Xenopus tropicalis: one gene and its partners. The main gene of each other region encodes a partner of the protein of the gene in region 2 in a complex. Links are inferred from orthologs where the notes say so. Each region holds a gene or a part of one and is shown on either strand. Other genes may lie near its edges.

Region 1 (4,096 bases), on a different chromosome or scaffold from region 2:
AACAAAAGCTTGTGCTTTTACAGATTCCTGTAAGAAAACTGAAACCTGGCAATATCTTATTAATATGACATTCAGTGGAGCTTGAAAGTTTGTGAATTCTTTTGTATTTTCAATATTTCTGCATAAATATGACCTAAAATGCGATCTGTTTTTCATACAAGTCTTAAAACTAGATCATGAGAACCCAGTTAAACAAATGAGTCAAAGACATAATGGTTTGATTTTTGCATTGGATTGGGGGGCCATAGCCTTGCTCTGATGGCTCCTATTCCTATCCTTATGGGCATACTGGAGGAAAGATCTGCTCATTTGGAAACCTCACCAAACTATCCACCCTTAAGGCCATTTAAAAAAAAAAAAATCCAGTGCACAATCAGGAAAGCACTGAACAACAATGGCGTGCAAAGAGAAAGCCTCTACTATCTTATAAGAACATTTACTAAAGACCATGTAATAAAAAAAGGCAAACACTAAATTCCAGCATAAGAACCGAAGGCATAGCTACCTATAGAGCAGACCCCACGGTCATGGGGCGCCCTCTTAAAGGGTGTGGGCCAGGAGGTGAGGTGCAAGTGGTCTAGGAGGGGGGCGATGGAGGAAGGAATCCTCAAAGGAGGGGCCCAGTGTGCCCAAGTTACCAGGCCCAGGCCTAGGGCAGCACAAATGTAGGGGCAGTATGCCAAAGTCGCACATGAGCACACAGGATGGGGGGGGGGGGCGACCAATGTCTGGTCATTACTTAAAATATCTGAGTATAAAAAGCAGGAACAAATAAAAACACAAAACAAAATCATGAAAAACATGAAAACTAAAACCAAGAATTAAATAAAGATTGTTACAATTGTCCTGGGACAGATCCCATTGACTTCTACATGACCTGAAAGATTTTTAATGTCGTTTTGTCCTTTTTTTTTGTTTTTTTTTTCACTTAATAAATCACAAACTTCATGTAATTAGTAAAATTCATGTTTTACTAATTATATGAAATTTAATTACATGCAATTTAGTCTTAACTCTAAAAACCACAAATAGGGAAAACAAAAAAAAATATGAATGTCCTTAAATGGGCCCCTAGGTGTTTCTTGGCTCTATTCATTTATTGCATTCTGAGTGCTACAATGAAGCTAGTTATAGTAAACTTCCATGTATATACATACGCTATTTGAAAATAAATTCAATCAATGTTTGTTCTTTTTAGTAATCTAATTTCTCAGTTACTGTTAATGTTTTAAGTATGGGAAGAAGAGGAAAAACAATGTTAAAAGCTACATAATATTCATATATCATTTTCACATGTAATAAAAACCTCACACACAAAAATGTATTCCCATTCTGCATCAGATAAGGTTTGCAATGTCTTCTTGTATTTGCAAAGACAAGGACAAGGCAAGTTTTTCAGAGCTGGAGTCCACAGAAGGCAATTAAAACAGGTAACATCCCCACATTGCTACTCTGGGAATGTTTTTTTTATTTCTTGTGGTTTCTGAGATATTTGCAGTTTTAGACTGCTAATACAAGGCTCCCAACTAGAGTCAGTGACCCTAGAGTTAGCTGACTAAGCAGGAAATGCTCAGTGACACTCAGACACTAAAAGAGAGCTGATTGGCTGAAAGCCTGCAAAGCACAAGTTCAATAAGCTTTTTGGGTTAAAAAGCACTCAATCTTCAATATACACAAAATTGCCCAAGGGCTGCAATATAGGGCTTGATATCAGCCTTGGACAATGGGACACATGCTTTATTTACTAACAGGGCTTTTCAGTTGGTGGACAATTGACCCGCACCACCACTTCTGCCTCCCCAGAATAATAGCACTGTCACTGTCACATGTTTCTCTTTCAAATTAACAAGGAAGCAGCACATTTGGGCACTTGACAACTGGATGAGAAAAAGCAGAGAATATACCCCATGTACCATCAGATGTATGAACTATGAATTTAAACAACAGGATTCCCAAGTACGGTAAGCTCCAGGACCAATGTTAGGACAGAGAGGAACATTATATATATATATATATTATATCAGGAATACCCAGCATACTGCCTTGTAGCTACATTATCAGGGAGGGTTCTAGAAGTTGCTGTTCAGGAACAGATGGGGAGTGACAGGTGTTAAATTGGGCCCTTAGGTATCTGTTAATGACCAGGGGCCCAGCTCCATTTCTACAATCCCAGCTTCAAACAAGGTGTTAAGGTAAGTACTATAATATTCCCATTAAACCCATTCATTTGAATTCCCCTGACTGCAGAATTGTGTAGATAGAACTGCTGCACCCTATAAACACAACTGGCCAGTCCCACATGCCCCATATATTAACCACATAACTCCACTCCACTATTTTGAGATCCATTAATCGCAGTGGAACAGGCGACCTTTGATTCACTATCGCAGAATGTGGGAAGTTGTCGTTCTGCAAATATCAGAGAGGCGAAGTTTGTCTATAAACTTAGTATGAGCAACCTGCAAAGCTGTTTGTGCTACACACAGAGCACAGGGGCTGTCATGCCATGCCATAAGGACGCACATCCATTGACACGCACAAGATATTTCCCAGCATCCCCTGAGGGTACTGAGTCTGGTGGTCGCAAGAAGCACAATGATGCAGCCCCACCACATGCACTGCGATAATACGGATAAGCCCCTCTTCTCACCCTGACTCCTCGCAGCACTCGCACCCTTTCCTCCTCATCCATCCCGAAGGACACCTTCCTCCCGGTGCTCTCACTGCCCCCCATGATGATTACCACGGCAACCACTTCCAGGCAGCTGCCCTGAGACTGACTAGTAACCTGTGCGCATGTGCCAACCACTCGGCGCTCATTGGCAGAGAACAAAACACAATAGCCAATCGCAGCGCTTTAGGTTGCTTCCACCAATCAAGAGCGGCGCTGTTCTCTTTCGGTCTTCTGGAAGTTGTAGTTCTGGCAGAACTGTGAGGGCGCGGTGCACTGTGGTGAAGTTATTGCCAGCCAGCCTACTTTATGAGTTTGTTTATTGCTCTCTGTTACTGTGTTATTTGTTGCGAATGTGTTCATTAAAATAGCATTAGCTAGCTGTGTAACATGCCTATTTATATCTGAGCAATGTTAAATTAAATAAAAAAAAAATATATATATATATATTTTTTTTTTTTTAAATTTAATTTAAGATTGCTCAGATATAAATAGGCATATATATATATATACTACAAGTAATGGGTGGAATAACTGTTTAGGCACCCTCTCACAAAAAGCAAATCCTGGCAAGTTAGGTTATATATATATATATATATATATATATATATATATATATATATATATTATATATATTTAAGCAACTGAGTACCTGTGCTTGGGTGGCAGGTTTTGGGGGGGTGGCCCTTGGGTTGCCTATATATAGGTTTTATTTAAAAAAAAAAAAAAAAATATGCCCTCCATAGGAAATCTGGTGACAGAGCTTGGGGTGGTGAGGGACAGGGGAAGTGATAGTGGTATTTAGGTCCCTTGCCTAGGGTAGCACCAGACATAAATACAGCCCTGGTCGTCTCCTGTCCAGTTTTGACCTGAACAGTTCAGTTTTTCTTAGGCCTGTTCTGGTCTCATCTGTCTGGTTTTTAGCCTTGTAAAGCCCAAACAATAATCTTTCTAATAAATTAAAACATTTATAGATTCAATCATGGGCGTCCGCAGAAAATTTTCCAAGGGGGGGCAAGTAAGCTAGCATCATCCTGCAACAGACAAATATATATATATATATATATATATATATATAATAGGTGAAAATGGATCGCATCACACAGGACTTATAGAAAAAATATTAATTTTATTTGGGTGAACAGCAAAAAACTGACGTTTCGGCTACAGCAGTAGCCTTTCTCAAAGTTACACGTAAGCAAACCAAACAGAACTTAAATACACAGTGTGGCGGGAAACTACATCGTGACGTGCAAACGTGACGTATCCAATACAGTGTAAACCATCAGATCCCTTTACTTTTGTGCAAACATATATGGACATTATTTACATCAAAGTAAAAATAAAAATAAAATCATTTGCATGAATAAGAATAAAAAGATTTGTGTACTCAAAATATGGTGTGTCATGATTATTTCAACGCCA
Region 2 (4,254 bases):
AAACCTGGATTCCCCTTATCCACATGGTCCTAACCAAGATTATAATTTATATCTGTTTTTATGTACTGTGAGTTTGCATTTTTCTTTGGAACTCATGCTCGTGTGTTTGATAGACTTTGTGTAGATATATCAAAACGGATACTTTATTCTTTATTTACAGGGCTGGAACCCTGCAAACAGCAGAAATGATAATGGACTATGTCATTTACTCCTATGGACTTTAAATGGCAGTGTTTTATAAATTGTGAAGGAGTTGCTGTGCACATGGCTTGAAACTTTTAAACAAAACTAAAAATAGGCAAGAAGTTGTACAGCTTATCAGTACCATCTTTCAACCTTTTAATAAAGCATCTTCTTGAAATGGTAAACTCTTAATATGAATTCAAGTCAGAAGTGTGTAAAAACTTATCTGTTTGGGGCAAAAATATAAAAACAAATATAAGTAGGAGGTCTATATTAAAGAACAGGATGAAGTAGAGATGGGAGAACTTACCTTGCCCCATACCACATAAGGCCAAATAGTTTCCCTCACTGAAGACAATCCAGACTGGAGACGGCCAGGGTGTTCTTCGATATATTTAGATTTTTGTGCAGGAACGGAATAAACAGATAGCTATAAATAAGAGATATTTTGTTTGCATTTTCAAGGTCTAAAACAATGCCTATATATGTATAAATGCTCAATTATGGTACTGATTGGTGAACACATTTATTAACTCTCATTCTGTATTTCAAAATCATCACTTAACATGTATCTCTTATCCTGTTCAGCAGGGTTATGGGTAGTTTTGAAGCTTAAAGGGAACATATACCTCCTTTGGCATCAGCTCATGCAGTTAGGGTTAGGAAGAAAAGTGCATAGACACTATCTGAACTTTCAAAAATAAATATAAATGCAGCCTTTTCTGCAGGGGTTGGATTCCCTCCCCCTTAGACTCACAGAGTGATCCAACCCATTCCTAACTGTATTCCATTGTGAAGTGATGGATTTTGGGACCTGAAGCCCCTCTGCTTTGCGAAGAATCTAAACCAACCACTATGTAAAGTAGAGGGACTTCAAGTCCCAGGATCCACAAAGTGAGGGAGGAGTTGCATCACTTTGTGAACTTCAATTCACTTTGTGGAATCAGGTATGTCTGTTAAAAAGAATAATACATTTATATTTACTGTGGGAAGTTCAGCTCAACTGAATGAGCTCTTTTTAAAAAGGAGGGTATAATTTCCATTAAACACTGACAATCAGAAGAGCCTATGACTTCAAGTGCTGACATGAGAATATGCTACAATCTGCACCAACTGGGTCAGTTTTATCTGGAGCCAGTTAATGGTCCTGTATGTTTTGAAGAGCTAACTACTTAGCGACCATGTTTGAATTCAGTCCTTTCAAACAGGTAGGGATTATTACCTGAATAGGTTTCAGGAGATTTCCCTTAGGCTCCCGGTCTGAAACTGCATAAAGGCCATAAGAGGTGAAAACTAGGCCAGCAGGCACTGCTGCCAACTTGAATATCTGCAGGAGAGAAAGCATTCAATAAAAGCATTTAATAAAAACAAACTTTTTACACAGAGACATTCCTGAGAGGGGCAAGTTATGTAACAACTGCCATGTTATGTAACAACTACCCCGAAGGTTGTGCCCTTTTCCATTGCATAGTTTTACCACAGAAACACAGAGACCTATTCGCACACCCTACCTCTCCAAAGAGTCCTTTATCCGGTGCCTACTGCTGGAGGGATCGGCACCCTCCAAAAATATTGAAGCAATCAAAAAAAGCAAATGGCACTCAGGACTACAAAACAAGGGTAAAACCCTATTAAAAATTTATTGCGGAGGTGCAACGTTTCGGGGCAATGTGACCCCTTTATCAAGCATTGATAATTTATCATGCTTGATAAAGGGGTCACATTGCCCCGAAACGTTGCACCTCCGCAATAAATTTTTAATAGGGTTTTACCCTTGTTTTGTAGTCCTGAGTGCCATTTGCTTTTTTTGATTGCTTCAATAGTTTTACCACAGCACACTACATTTAATCTCAAATGTGATTTGATACTCATTTCAGATTTAAACTGCATATAAAACACAACCTAATGTAAATATATGTTATTGGGTCTTGGGGTCCAGAACAGGGATGTAACTACAGCACAGCGGTTATTTTGGGAGTTACCCCAGGAACGCAGGAGGCCTAGTAATACTCTAATTAATGAGCAATTTCAATATATTCTTGTAGAATGTAAGGCTACCAATATTTGGGGCCCAGAAACATCTAGTTGTCACTGGTGCAGAGGGTAGGATCTAAACATATGCAATTGCTATATACATATAAAGATATACAGAAAACATGGGGGGAGCTGTCCCTTAGAGTGTTGCACACCAGCCTTCAGCCCACCGCAAGCTGCATTATTAAAATTCAGATCCACAGCTAGGAAAGTGCTGCAAGGCTAGCCAACAAACACTTTCAGGGTGAGAGGATATTGATTGGCTAAATATATACATGCGAGCTGGCATGGGCCAGGTAGAGATTTGTGGGGAGAGAAGATGAAGAATATGACAGGTACAAGAACATTTGGAAGGACAGTGGGAGTACAGAGAGGGATTCAATGTACAAAGTATAATGTGACAGATGCTCAGGGAAAGTGGCAGATCGCTTAATCACACCAACGCCAATGCACGCTGGATACGTTTACTCAGAAAGACATAAGACTGTAAAGGAGGAGGAACACTCACCTTGGCCACCATGTCCGCCCCCTCCTAGCGGGCAACTACGGTGCAGTGGTGAGTTCAAACCTCTTCCTTTCTCGAACAGCGCATTTCGGCCAAGCTCGAATACATCACGTGACCTACACATATCAGTCCGCCAGTGCAAACTGAGTTCAGCGTAGTGGAATAACTATAATAACTGTGTGTGCTGAACTGGGTTCAGCGTAGTGGGGTAACTATAACTGTGTGCTGGGAAACTGGGTTCAGCGTAGTGGGGTAACTATAACTGTGTGTGCTGGGAAACTGGGTTCAGCGTAGTGGGGTAACTATAACTGTGTGTGCTGGGAAACTGGGTTCAGCGTAGTGGGGTAACTATAACTGTGTGTGCTGGGAAACTGGGTTCAGCGTAGTGGGGTAACTATAACTGTGTGTGCTGGGAAACTGGGTTCAGCGTAGTGGGGTAACTATAACTGTGTGTTCTGGGAAACTGGGTTCAGCGTAGTGGGGTAACTATAACTGTGTGTTCTGGGAAACTGGGTTCAGCGTAGTGGGGTAACTATAACTGTGTGTGCTGGGAAGAACGTACGATGGGAGTTTTCCGGGAAACTTGCGCTGTATGGGGCTGTGACTCCCGTGTTTTTATCTTTTGAGGGTAATTATTTAGGGGCTGTTTAAACTTTGGAAACTGCTGTCAGTCAGTGGGCCGCCTCCTGAACTCAGTATCGGCTGCGGGTGTTCAGGGCTGCTGGATTTGAGGGATGTATCTAAAACAATGCAGCTAACGGGGCTGAATTGCATTGCAGTTTATTTCAAATGCAATCATTGCTGCCCTGCAATATGAATTTATTAGATGTGACCCTGAATTTTCAAGTGATGTGGTCATTTTATCTCTACACTTATTAAAGGAGAATGAATTAAGATTGTACCTGTGAATTATACTCCTCCAGATATAGAAGGATTGTGCTTAAAAAAAAAGGTTCAGACTGATTTATTGAGAAATTCCACCAAAACCTCACTAGCCCTCCCATCTGTTCCACTTCCTGCTGGCTGAATTCTCTGGATGAGCTGGGGAGCCAGCGGCCCTCCGTACCCTGCACTGTAGGATAGGAACCAATCAGCAGCTAGGCTGACCTGATAGGGAACTGAAGTCTGTCATTGCTTGTGTGAGTGCAGGGTTGTGATTGGCTCTCCCCCTCCTACCATGCTTCTGGCAGGGACCGTTAGGACACACCCACTCTCCATTTCAAACTGGGACAGAGAAGCCAGAGGATCTATAGCAGGGGTCCCCAACCTTTCTTACTCGTGAGCCACAGTCAAATGTAAAAAGACTTGGAGAGCAACACAAGCACCATAAAAGTTCATGGAGGAGCCAAATAAGGGCTGTGATTGGCTATTAGGGGCCTCTATGCACCCTATCAGCTTACAGGGGCTTTATTTGGTAGGAAATCTTGTTTTTATTCAACCAAAACTTGCCCCCAAGTCAGGAATTCAAAAATAACTACCTGGTTTGGGGGCACTGAGAACAACATCCAAGGGGTTGGGGAGCAACATGTTCC
Region 3 (4,254 bases), on a different chromosome or scaffold from region 2:
GTTTTTTCATTTAATAACATTAAGACCAAATATCATTTTCCGGGCTGATAAAATACAGGCCAGGTGGCCTGGCAGTTTAGTAACTGACCAAGTTGTCAGGTTCCCTATTCTTAAAAAAGGAAAGGTACCACATATTCTGTGAGTTTGGTCCCCACTAGCTAGAAGAGTTGGTTTGTTAAAGGGCCTATGGTTGAGGTAAAACTCAGTAGGTAAAGCACTAGAAGGTTTTGTAGTAGTTTGCTTTAGGAGTGAAAGCCAGGATCAGGGTAGTTAGTAGAGTAGTCAGAGACTCTAACAAAGAAACCAAGGAAGGTTAGTACCCTGCAAAGTCACCTGCCAGTATAGGGACTCAAGCGCTAGGGTCAGGAATAGGAGATTTCAAGGGACTACTGTAAGCATCCACTAGTGCTGGGGACTACCTCTGGGGTGTTGTAAACATTACGCTTGTGATTAGAAAAGAATACCATCCAAAGAATTAAAGTATTTGAGCATTTATGAGACAACTGATGTTTGCACCATCTTATCCTCCAATACCAATAACCAATGCCAATAACAAATCATCACATTGGGCGTATTAAAAGGATTAAATGGGTATGGCTAATTTTATGCTGCCACCTTTCTGGTTTCTACCTGCTTTTTACCAGGACAGCCCAGTTTTCAAAAGGGCTGTCTGGGTCAAACCTGCATGGCCAGTTTTCCAAACAAGAAAAATAAGCAGGATTCTCCTACACTGATGCAGAACTTTTCCAGATTGCTGTAGCAATGTGCCAAATGATACCCACCCCACCCTGTCTGGCTTTCAGAATGGGAAAAGGTGGCATCCATATTTGTACAGTAGTGCTACCGTATTTGGTTTCTTGATTCTTGAGCTGGTGTTGATTTTCTAAACCAGATTATTTGGTTGGTCAGAAACCAACATCAGCAATGGTATAGGGGGTCATTGGTCAATCCAAACAGGACTGGGCTGTACTCTGCTGTGGTGTCTTTTCTTCTGCCCTCTTGTTTGCTCTCCCATTTTAGCTTTTTACTTTGGGATTTGGTCGAATCCCAGTCTGACACATTGCATACAAAATGGGAAGTATTCTAGTGTACAGCTAGTTGTACTAAATGCCAAAATTTAACTGGTGATCAAAATTTTATTTCTAGGTTTTCTTTATCCTGTGGCACCTTATACAATGTCAATACACAACTGCTTAACCAAAAACCATATTATCACTACGCTTTATGTATGCTAAAAAATGTAAACTTTGAATAGTAGTTCTTTTGTTCATATGTTTTATATTTATGTGAACAGCTATAGTTAAAATTGTATCATATATAGCAACAATACAGGCTATGGAACAATGTCACCATTTATATAGTTAACGAGGGTCATTCAAACTAAACGCTTGTTATCTCAAGCAAGCGTTTAGAAAAAACCCATATATTTTCTCTACACTACAATTACCGAGATGCTTTGCGAACTGTCCGTCTCATGTGATCGGAAGTAGAGAGGCTGGATGCGCGGCGTGTCCTTGGAGGGGGAAAAATGGCTTCCGCAGCATTGAGGATACTCAAGTGAGTTTGTGTCAAGCGCTGCTGCTTTTAACTTACTGACAGAAAATGTCCGTATTCAAGAATTCTTGCTGGGCTGTATTGTCGGATATAGTTAGCTTCAAGCTTTACGAATACCACGCCCTAAGGCTTTCTGCTTCATATGGAGAATGAGTCTGTGCGAAATAAATGGTTTTAGCAAATTCCTACTCATTTTAGGTTTGCCACCAAAGCAGGCCTGGCTGGGGGAGCTGTGTATGTGGCGTATGACCAGGGGCTGCTGGGCAGTGGCACCCAAGGAGAGGAGGTGCTGAAGAAGACCACAGCTGCCATACCGCCTGCCATTCAAGAATGGGCTAATTACTTCGGCTGGCAGGTAAACTAATTAAAGAGGTGTAAGTGTGTGTGTCTATATATCCATATCATATATATAATAGAAAGAGTGCCGCACTCACAGGGACTTGATACAAAAGAAAGTGTTTTTATTGAAAAAATTCCAACATTTCGAGCACAACCAGTGCTCTTCCTCAGGTCCACAAGTCCCTGTGTGTGCGGCACTCTTTCTATTATATTTTTGTTTTTGACCTGCACCAAAGGCATTTGGACTTGTATAGGGTGTGCTCCTCCCTGTGTACCATATCACACACACACACACATATATATATATATATATATATATATATATATATATATATATATATATATATATATATATATTTTTCCTTATTGGATGCAAAACAATCCTATTGGGTTTATTTAATGTTTTATTGATTTTTTTAGTAGACTTAAGGTATGGAGATCCAAATTACGGAAAGACCCCTTATCTGGAATACCCTTGATCCCAAGCATTCTGGATAATGGTTCCTATACCTGTATAAGGAACAGCGTAACTTATTTTGGCACAATCCCTCCTGTACAGGTTAGTACAGTGCTATACAGCCACAGTTCCATCAGTACATTACAGAGCATGTGTAAATGTTTTTATAGCATGTTTTAATTAAACTGCCTGAGGTGATGTGGCTGCTCTAAATTTAAGCAATGTAGATTATGCATTGCTCGCGTTAAACAGTCAAACATGGAGGTTTACTACCTCTTTAAGCATTTTAGACCAATGTAGATTATGTTTGTAGCATGCACAAGGCCTTAAACTAGTACATTATTGTATACTTTGTAGTGCCAACATATTCTAAAGCTCTTTACTGGGACTGAATTATACAGTATATAAAATGATAACAATAACATGTAAGAATGAAGAGAGGTCCCTATTCACTAGAGCTTACAATAAGGAAATGCATTGACTAAAGGTCCCCATACACAGTAAGATCCGCTTGCTTGGCAAGATCGCCAAGCGAGCAGATCTTCCCCCGATATCCCCACCTACGGGTGGGCGATATTGGGGAGCTTGAACGACCGGATTATGTAGGCGGCAATGGGGCAGTCGGTTCGGGGACCGCATCAACGAGCCGATGCGGTCCCCGATCCGACTGGATTTTCTAACCTGCCCGATCGATATCTGTCCAATTTCAGGCCAGATATCGGTCGGCCAGCCCGCTTGTTTCTGCCCCTACATGGGCCCTTGTATGGGGGCCTTAAGGCTAAATGCTTGCTTGGGCAATGTAATATGAAATGTATCTTAAATAAGCTTTTGCAAGTTTTCTTATTGCCCTGTGGATCAACCAGTTTCCCCAAAGACATGCACCTTCATAGAAAGCCTTCATTTGTGAACAGTTAAACATATGATGGAGTAGTGCACTTTGATTTTAAAACAGGCAAAATCCTATTTAAATGTATGTACCACTGTATGTAATTCTTTGTGACAGTGACATACACACAGAGAAATAATGTATTCTTTGTTTTTCTCAATGTCTGTGTGTATTACCCATGGACAATTGTTAAATAGCATTTTTAAGTATATTTGCAGCATGGGAGAGGTCTTGGAGGTGTTACATACGGTTGAAAAAAAGACCAGAGTTCAACCCTTCCAAGTAAACCCAGCACACAAACCTATACTGACCTATCTATGCACTCACATACATAAACTATATATACAGAAATTAATACTAACTGTAGATATTAGTGTAGCCCACCCTAGGGTATGGCTTGGTGTACTGTAGTTGTGACTGTGGTGACACCCCAAAGATTCCCAGTAAATACCAACACAAACAGGAAGTAAACCCAGATTTATTACACAGGAACTGGGCTGAAAATGAGTTAGAAAAATTAAATGCAGATAAATGCAGAAAGTATGAACAGGCAGAAATAGCAATAACAGTGCAATGCAATGTAAACTGCACTAGCAGTTAAGTTCTAACAACAAAGTTTGGGAGCTCCCCTAATGTCCTATAAGCCGGCAGCGTTGGGGCCCTTAAACAACAATTTACATCCAGGATGCTTGTACTTTGTTATTATAGCTTCAGAGGAAACCAGCTTGGCTACATTAGTATCACAATAGCCTTGGATATTCTGCTTGTTCAAGAACTCATCCAAGCCCCTCCATCCAGGCATTAACAGAATCTGCGATTGCAACATCACTAGGAAGGGCATTCCCCAACCTCACTGCCCTCACCATGAAAAACCACCTACGCTGCTTCAAATGGAAGCTCCGTTCCTCTAATCTAAAGGGGTGACCTCTGGTGCGTTGATTGTTTTTATGGGAAAAAAGAACATCCCCCAACTGCCTATATTCCCCTCTAATGTATTTATACAGAGTAATCATGTCCT
Region 4 (4,269 bases), on a different chromosome or scaffold from region 2:
CCCTCTGGCATTCCCAGTACACAGAGGCCCAAACAGCCCCCCCAGCCCAATAAATAGTGACTGTCTGTGGCATCTTACAGCAGCCCCTCTGGCATTCCCAGTACCCAGAGGCACAAACAGCCCCCCAGCCCAATAAATAGTGACTGTCTGTGGCACCTTACAGCCCCCCTGGCATTCCCAGTACCCAGAGGCACAAACAGCCCCCCAGCAGCCCAATAAATAGTGACTGTCTGTGGCACCTTACAGCCCCCCTGGCATTCCCAGTACCCAGAGGCACAAACAGCCCCCCCAGCCCAATAAATAGTGACTGTCTGTGGCACCTTACAGCCCCCCTGGCATTCCCAGTACCCAGAGGCACAAACAGCCCCCCCAGCCCAATAAATAGTGACTGTCTGTGGCACCTTACAGCCCCCCTGGCATTCCCAGTACCCAGAGGCACAAACAGCCCCCCAGCAGCCCAATAAATAGTGACTGTCTGTGGCACCTTACAGCAATCCATAGACTGCCATTTTGGGCCTGAGGGGAGATTTGTCACCCTTGGTTAAATCTGGGTTACTGTGGGTGACAAATCTCCCCAAAATGCTTTGCAACCAGCAGTAAAGTAAGTTGACAGTGGGAAAGCATATACAGTGCTTATTTCCTTGCCCGCGGCAGCCCAGATTTAGCCATGGGCAGAAAATCTCCCCTTGTGCCATAAGCCTTAGAGGGTACCTGCCATTTTGCTGGGGGGGGGGGATAAAAACTGCATTGTGGGTAAAAAAAGATAGCATAGTGACCTATTCATATCAACATCCAAGGGCACGGCTATCAATGGGAGCAGGGTGGCACGTTAAGTAGCATTCCTGCCCCACATTGCTGAGCATTACGTGCAGATTGGGCACTGTGTGCTTGGCATCTGAGTAACGTTCCTCTGTGCCATTGCTGTGCATCCTCCAGCAATATAGGGGAAAGTTAACTGGCTCCTGTTGATATTGCCCCCATGTCGGAGAATTTGTGGGTTCCTGCATGCTGTCAGTAAGCTGTGGAGAAGTTGTTACAATTTGTAACATCAATGTTTTAGTCCCTTCTCCCCTGCCAGGATTTCAAATGATGCAGAAAGAGAAGAACTGTTTTGCAGCTGGATTTCAGCATATAAAATGGTATTTATTCCTACTTTTTGAAGGAACAGATTACAGTGATAGGGATTTGGGGGGTTTCTGTGCTGTGTGGGGCTCTGTAACACATTTTGGCGCAGAAGCCAGAGTTCATCTTTAATATTCTGCAGACTTTATTATAAGCAAATAATTCCGATTTCCTATTTCTCTGAAATATTAGAACAGTACCTTGTATGAGATGGTAACTAAGCAGCACAGATCCATGTGAGTGGCAAAACAATCCTACTGGGTTTATTTCAGCTTTTAATTATTAAGTATGGAGATCCAAATAATGGAAATATACCTTCCCCAGGTCCCTAGTACACCTGTATAAGGATTCCTACCCTGGGCTGGGGTCAGATACAGATTAGAAAGTAGAAGGCAGAGTGCCAACGCTCTATACATCATTAGATCTGCTTCATACAACACAATGTACATATAAAGGGGCAGTTTACATTGAAATGAACTTTTAGTATGATGCAGAGAGTGCTATTCTGCAACAGTTTGCAATTGGTCTTCATTTTTAATTACTTGCAGGTTTTGATATATTTTTCTTTGTGTTCAACAGCTCCCCAATTTTACATTTTAGCAGCTGTATGGTTGCTAGGGTCCGATTTAACCTAGCAACCAGCCAGTGGTTTAAAAGGTAGATGGGAATATGAATAGAAGAGGGCCTACATAGAAAGATAAGTAATAAAAAGACACAATGGTGAAGGTGAAGCAGCGCTTTTATACAATTTATATGGAAGAATGAAAAGATGATATTTTCTCCCAATCAAAAAGCAAACCTTAACTGTCGCAAAAGGCTGTCAAGGGATGCTGGGAGTTGTGGTCCAATAACTTTAACTAAGCTCTTTGCCACTCTCTGTACTGTCCCTGGCACCAGATAGGAGCTAGGCCCTGGGGATGGGACACCAAGCAAGGTCACACCTACAGGCAAAAGACAAGTGGGGTTTATGCAGACAGGGGCGCTCTCGCAGGAGGGTACAATTAGCCACTGAGGCTAAAATAAACTTTAGGCCGTATACAGGCCGTGTGCCCCGGTGACCTAGCCCCATGCCGCCTCACAGTCCCTCGCCACTATAGCTTTCCATTCTACCTGCCAAAATATACATCGCTCATTGGCTTCACAGAACGTCCGTCAAAACAACTAACCACGTTATAGGTCTAACAGACGTCAATCTAACGCTAGCCCCGCCCGAGCAGCGTCATATATTTAACCAAGGGGTAATTGGCTAAAGTGCCAAGGACATTGGAATCTGATTGGCCGGTCAGCCTGCAGCTTGTTAAAGCGGTTGCCTGTAATTGGCTGGAGTGAAAGGAAGTCCTAGGCGCCGCTGACGGCTCCCAGCCTTGGAAGCCGGGGTCCCTTACTTCGTAAGGCTCAGTACTGCTGTTTCCCGGCCTTTAGGCGATATCCTGTCAGAATCCATCCCCGCCCATTCTCCCAACTAGAAGCTCCCTCACTGCAACACTGTGTACTCTTTCGCGCTATCCACTCACCTTGGCGAGCACCGCCGCCTGGGCCTTCCTGCACACCCGCAGCATGTTCTCCGGTGTGATGGGGAGGGCAAGCTCCGGGAGCGCTCTCAGTACGGCATGAATGGAGGCGCGGTCCGTGTAGCACCTCTAGCTCCGCCTACGTCATTCGCCGGGGTACGCCCACTATGGCATGACAGCTTGATTTTTTTTTTAATTCAACAGCTTTATTAATAACACTTCTGAGAACAAGATAGGGATTTGCGTATCCAATACGGGTCTCATGGCTGGGGCATGCTGGTACTTGTAGTTCCTAACAGGGATATCGTGTGTTGTGGTTTATCGCAGTGTTATAGAGTTTGTACCACATGACTTTTCGCACTACGTATTAATAAAGGGGACTTTCACCATGAAACTGGCTTTTGCGCAATAAAATGTGGTTAAAATAAACTTTACACTCTCTGTGCAGCTCTGTGATGGCTGAAAGCAGTGCCTGCCTGGTTACAGTCTGTGCACCGCGGGTTCTGACTCACAGCAATGTAGCAGAAGCAGCTGATACACCTAGAGAACTATCCTTTGCATAGTTTCACAAGTCACAGCTGTTTCTGTAATAACTTTGTGTAGAGTGTAAGCTCTTTTGGGCAGGGCTCTCTTCACCTCTTGTACCGGTTATTGATTGCTTTATATGTTACTCTGTATGTCTCCTTGTAGAGTGTAAGCTCTTTTGGGCAGGGCCCTCTTCACCTCTTGTATCGGTTATTGATTGCTTTATATGTTACTCTGTATGTCCCATGCATACCTCCCAACATTTGAAAAATGAAAAGAGGGACAAAAAGATTTGGTGCGCGCAGCGCGGCAATTTTTTTGACCACACCCTCTTTTGTGACCACGCCCCAATTACCACACCCCATTAAAAAAATACTCCTTTTATATAGTTAAAATGGCGGGATCAGACGCAAATGTGCTATACTCTCATACTGTACTGCCTAAGGGAAACATTATAGCAACTCCTACATATAAATACAAATATAGAGAGAAGGCAGTGAGTTATATGTGAGTTATAACTATGTACCAGTTTTGCCCCCCCATACACAGGTGCCCCCCATACACAGTGCCCCCATACACAGTAGCACAGCATGTCATGACACTCATTGTTGCACAAGCATTACAGTGTATGTATAAGGCATACATTACAGTGAGAAGTATAAGGCAATATCCTTTCAGCAATACTTTTAATAGAAAGCAAAATGTATTTTAGATATTAATGAATGCAGGGAGTTGTAGCAAACTAACATGGTTAAGCTAATTACCCTGCAGGTAGTATTATAGATGATACACTGACCACCATCAGGGTTTTGTCCTGTACCAGTAAGGAAGACTGGGGTTAAGGAAATGTTGGCCTAAAGGTTCAGGATAACTCTGGGTAGGGAGGTTATCAGAAGGAGACAGCTAAAGAGAGCTCAGCAGTGAAAGAGGTGTAGGGGGTAGCAGGTAAACAGCTTAGTGAAACTTGTACCGGGCAGGGCCGGATTTCTGTTTTGGGCGCCCCGAGGCCACCCCTGTCGGTCGTCCCCTCCCCACCCGTGCGCATGCGCGAAAGCGCCCCCAGTGCGCATGCGCGAAAGCGCGCCCTCCTGTGCGCATGCGCGAAAGCGGC

The links.
Region 1: apool (region 2) and chchd6 share a complex: the UniProt entries of both Homo sapiens proteins name them as parts of the mitochondrial contact site and cristae organizing system (MICOS) complex. The link is inferred for Xenopus tropicalis from reciprocal best matches to the Homo sapiens genes APOOL and CHCHD6.
Region 3: apool (region 2) and micos13 share a complex: the UniProt entries of both Homo sapiens proteins name them as parts of the mitochondrial contact site and cristae organizing system (MICOS) complex. The link is inferred for Xenopus tropicalis from reciprocal best matches to the Homo sapiens genes APOOL and MICOS13.
Region 4: apool (region 2) and immt share a complex: the UniProt entries of both Homo sapiens proteins name them as parts of the mitochondrial contact site and cristae organizing system (MICOS) complex. The link is inferred for Xenopus tropicalis from reciprocal best matches to the Homo sapiens genes APOOL and IMMT.

Annotation. Positions count from the first base shown.
Region 1 is NC_030680.2:134,698,648-134,702,743, forward strand, and holds the start of chchd6 (MICOS complex subunit mic25), read right to left. Parts: upstream 2,810-4,096; 5' UTR 2,735-2,809; coding exon 2,651-2,734; intron 1-2,650. UniProt on the Homo sapiens protein: Component of the MICOS complex, a large protein complex of the mitochondrial inner membrane that plays crucial roles in the maintenance of crista junctions, inner membrane architecture, and formation of contact sites to the outer membrane.
Region 2 is NC_030684.2:63,236,981-63,241,234, forward strand, and holds the start of apool (MICOS complex subunit MIC27), read right to left. Parts: upstream 2,809-4,254; 5' UTR 2,738-2,808; coding exon 2,726-2,737; exon of another isoform or gene 2,686-2,725; intron 1,511-2,685; coding exon 1,406-1,510; intron 614-1,405; coding exon 494-613; intron 362-493; exon of another isoform or gene 242-361; coding exon of another isoform or gene 161-241; intron 1-160. UniProt on the Homo sapiens protein: Component of the MICOS complex, a large protein complex of the mitochondrial inner membrane that plays crucial roles in the maintenance of crista junctions, inner membrane architecture, and formation of contact sites to the outer membrane.
Region 3 is NC_030677.2:114,330,572-114,334,825, reverse strand, and holds the start of micos13 (MICOS complex subunit MIC13), read left to right. Parts: upstream 1-1,445; 5' UTR 1,446-1,528; coding exon 1,529-1,557; intron 1,558-1,752; coding exon 1,753-1,909; intron 1,910-4,254. UniProt on the Homo sapiens protein: Component of the MICOS complex, a large protein complex of the mitochondrial inner membrane that plays crucial roles in the maintenance of crista junctions, inner membrane architecture, and formation of contact sites to the outer membrane.
Region 4 is NC_030677.2:17,822,750-17,827,018, forward strand, and holds the start of immt (MICOS complex subunit MIC60), read right to left. Parts: upstream 2,810-4,269; 5' UTR 2,682-2,809; coding exon 2,637-2,681; intron 1-2,636. UniProt on the Homo sapiens protein: Component of the MICOS complex, a large protein complex of the mitochondrial inner membrane that plays crucial roles in the maintenance of crista junctions, inner membrane architecture, and formation of contact sites to the outer membrane.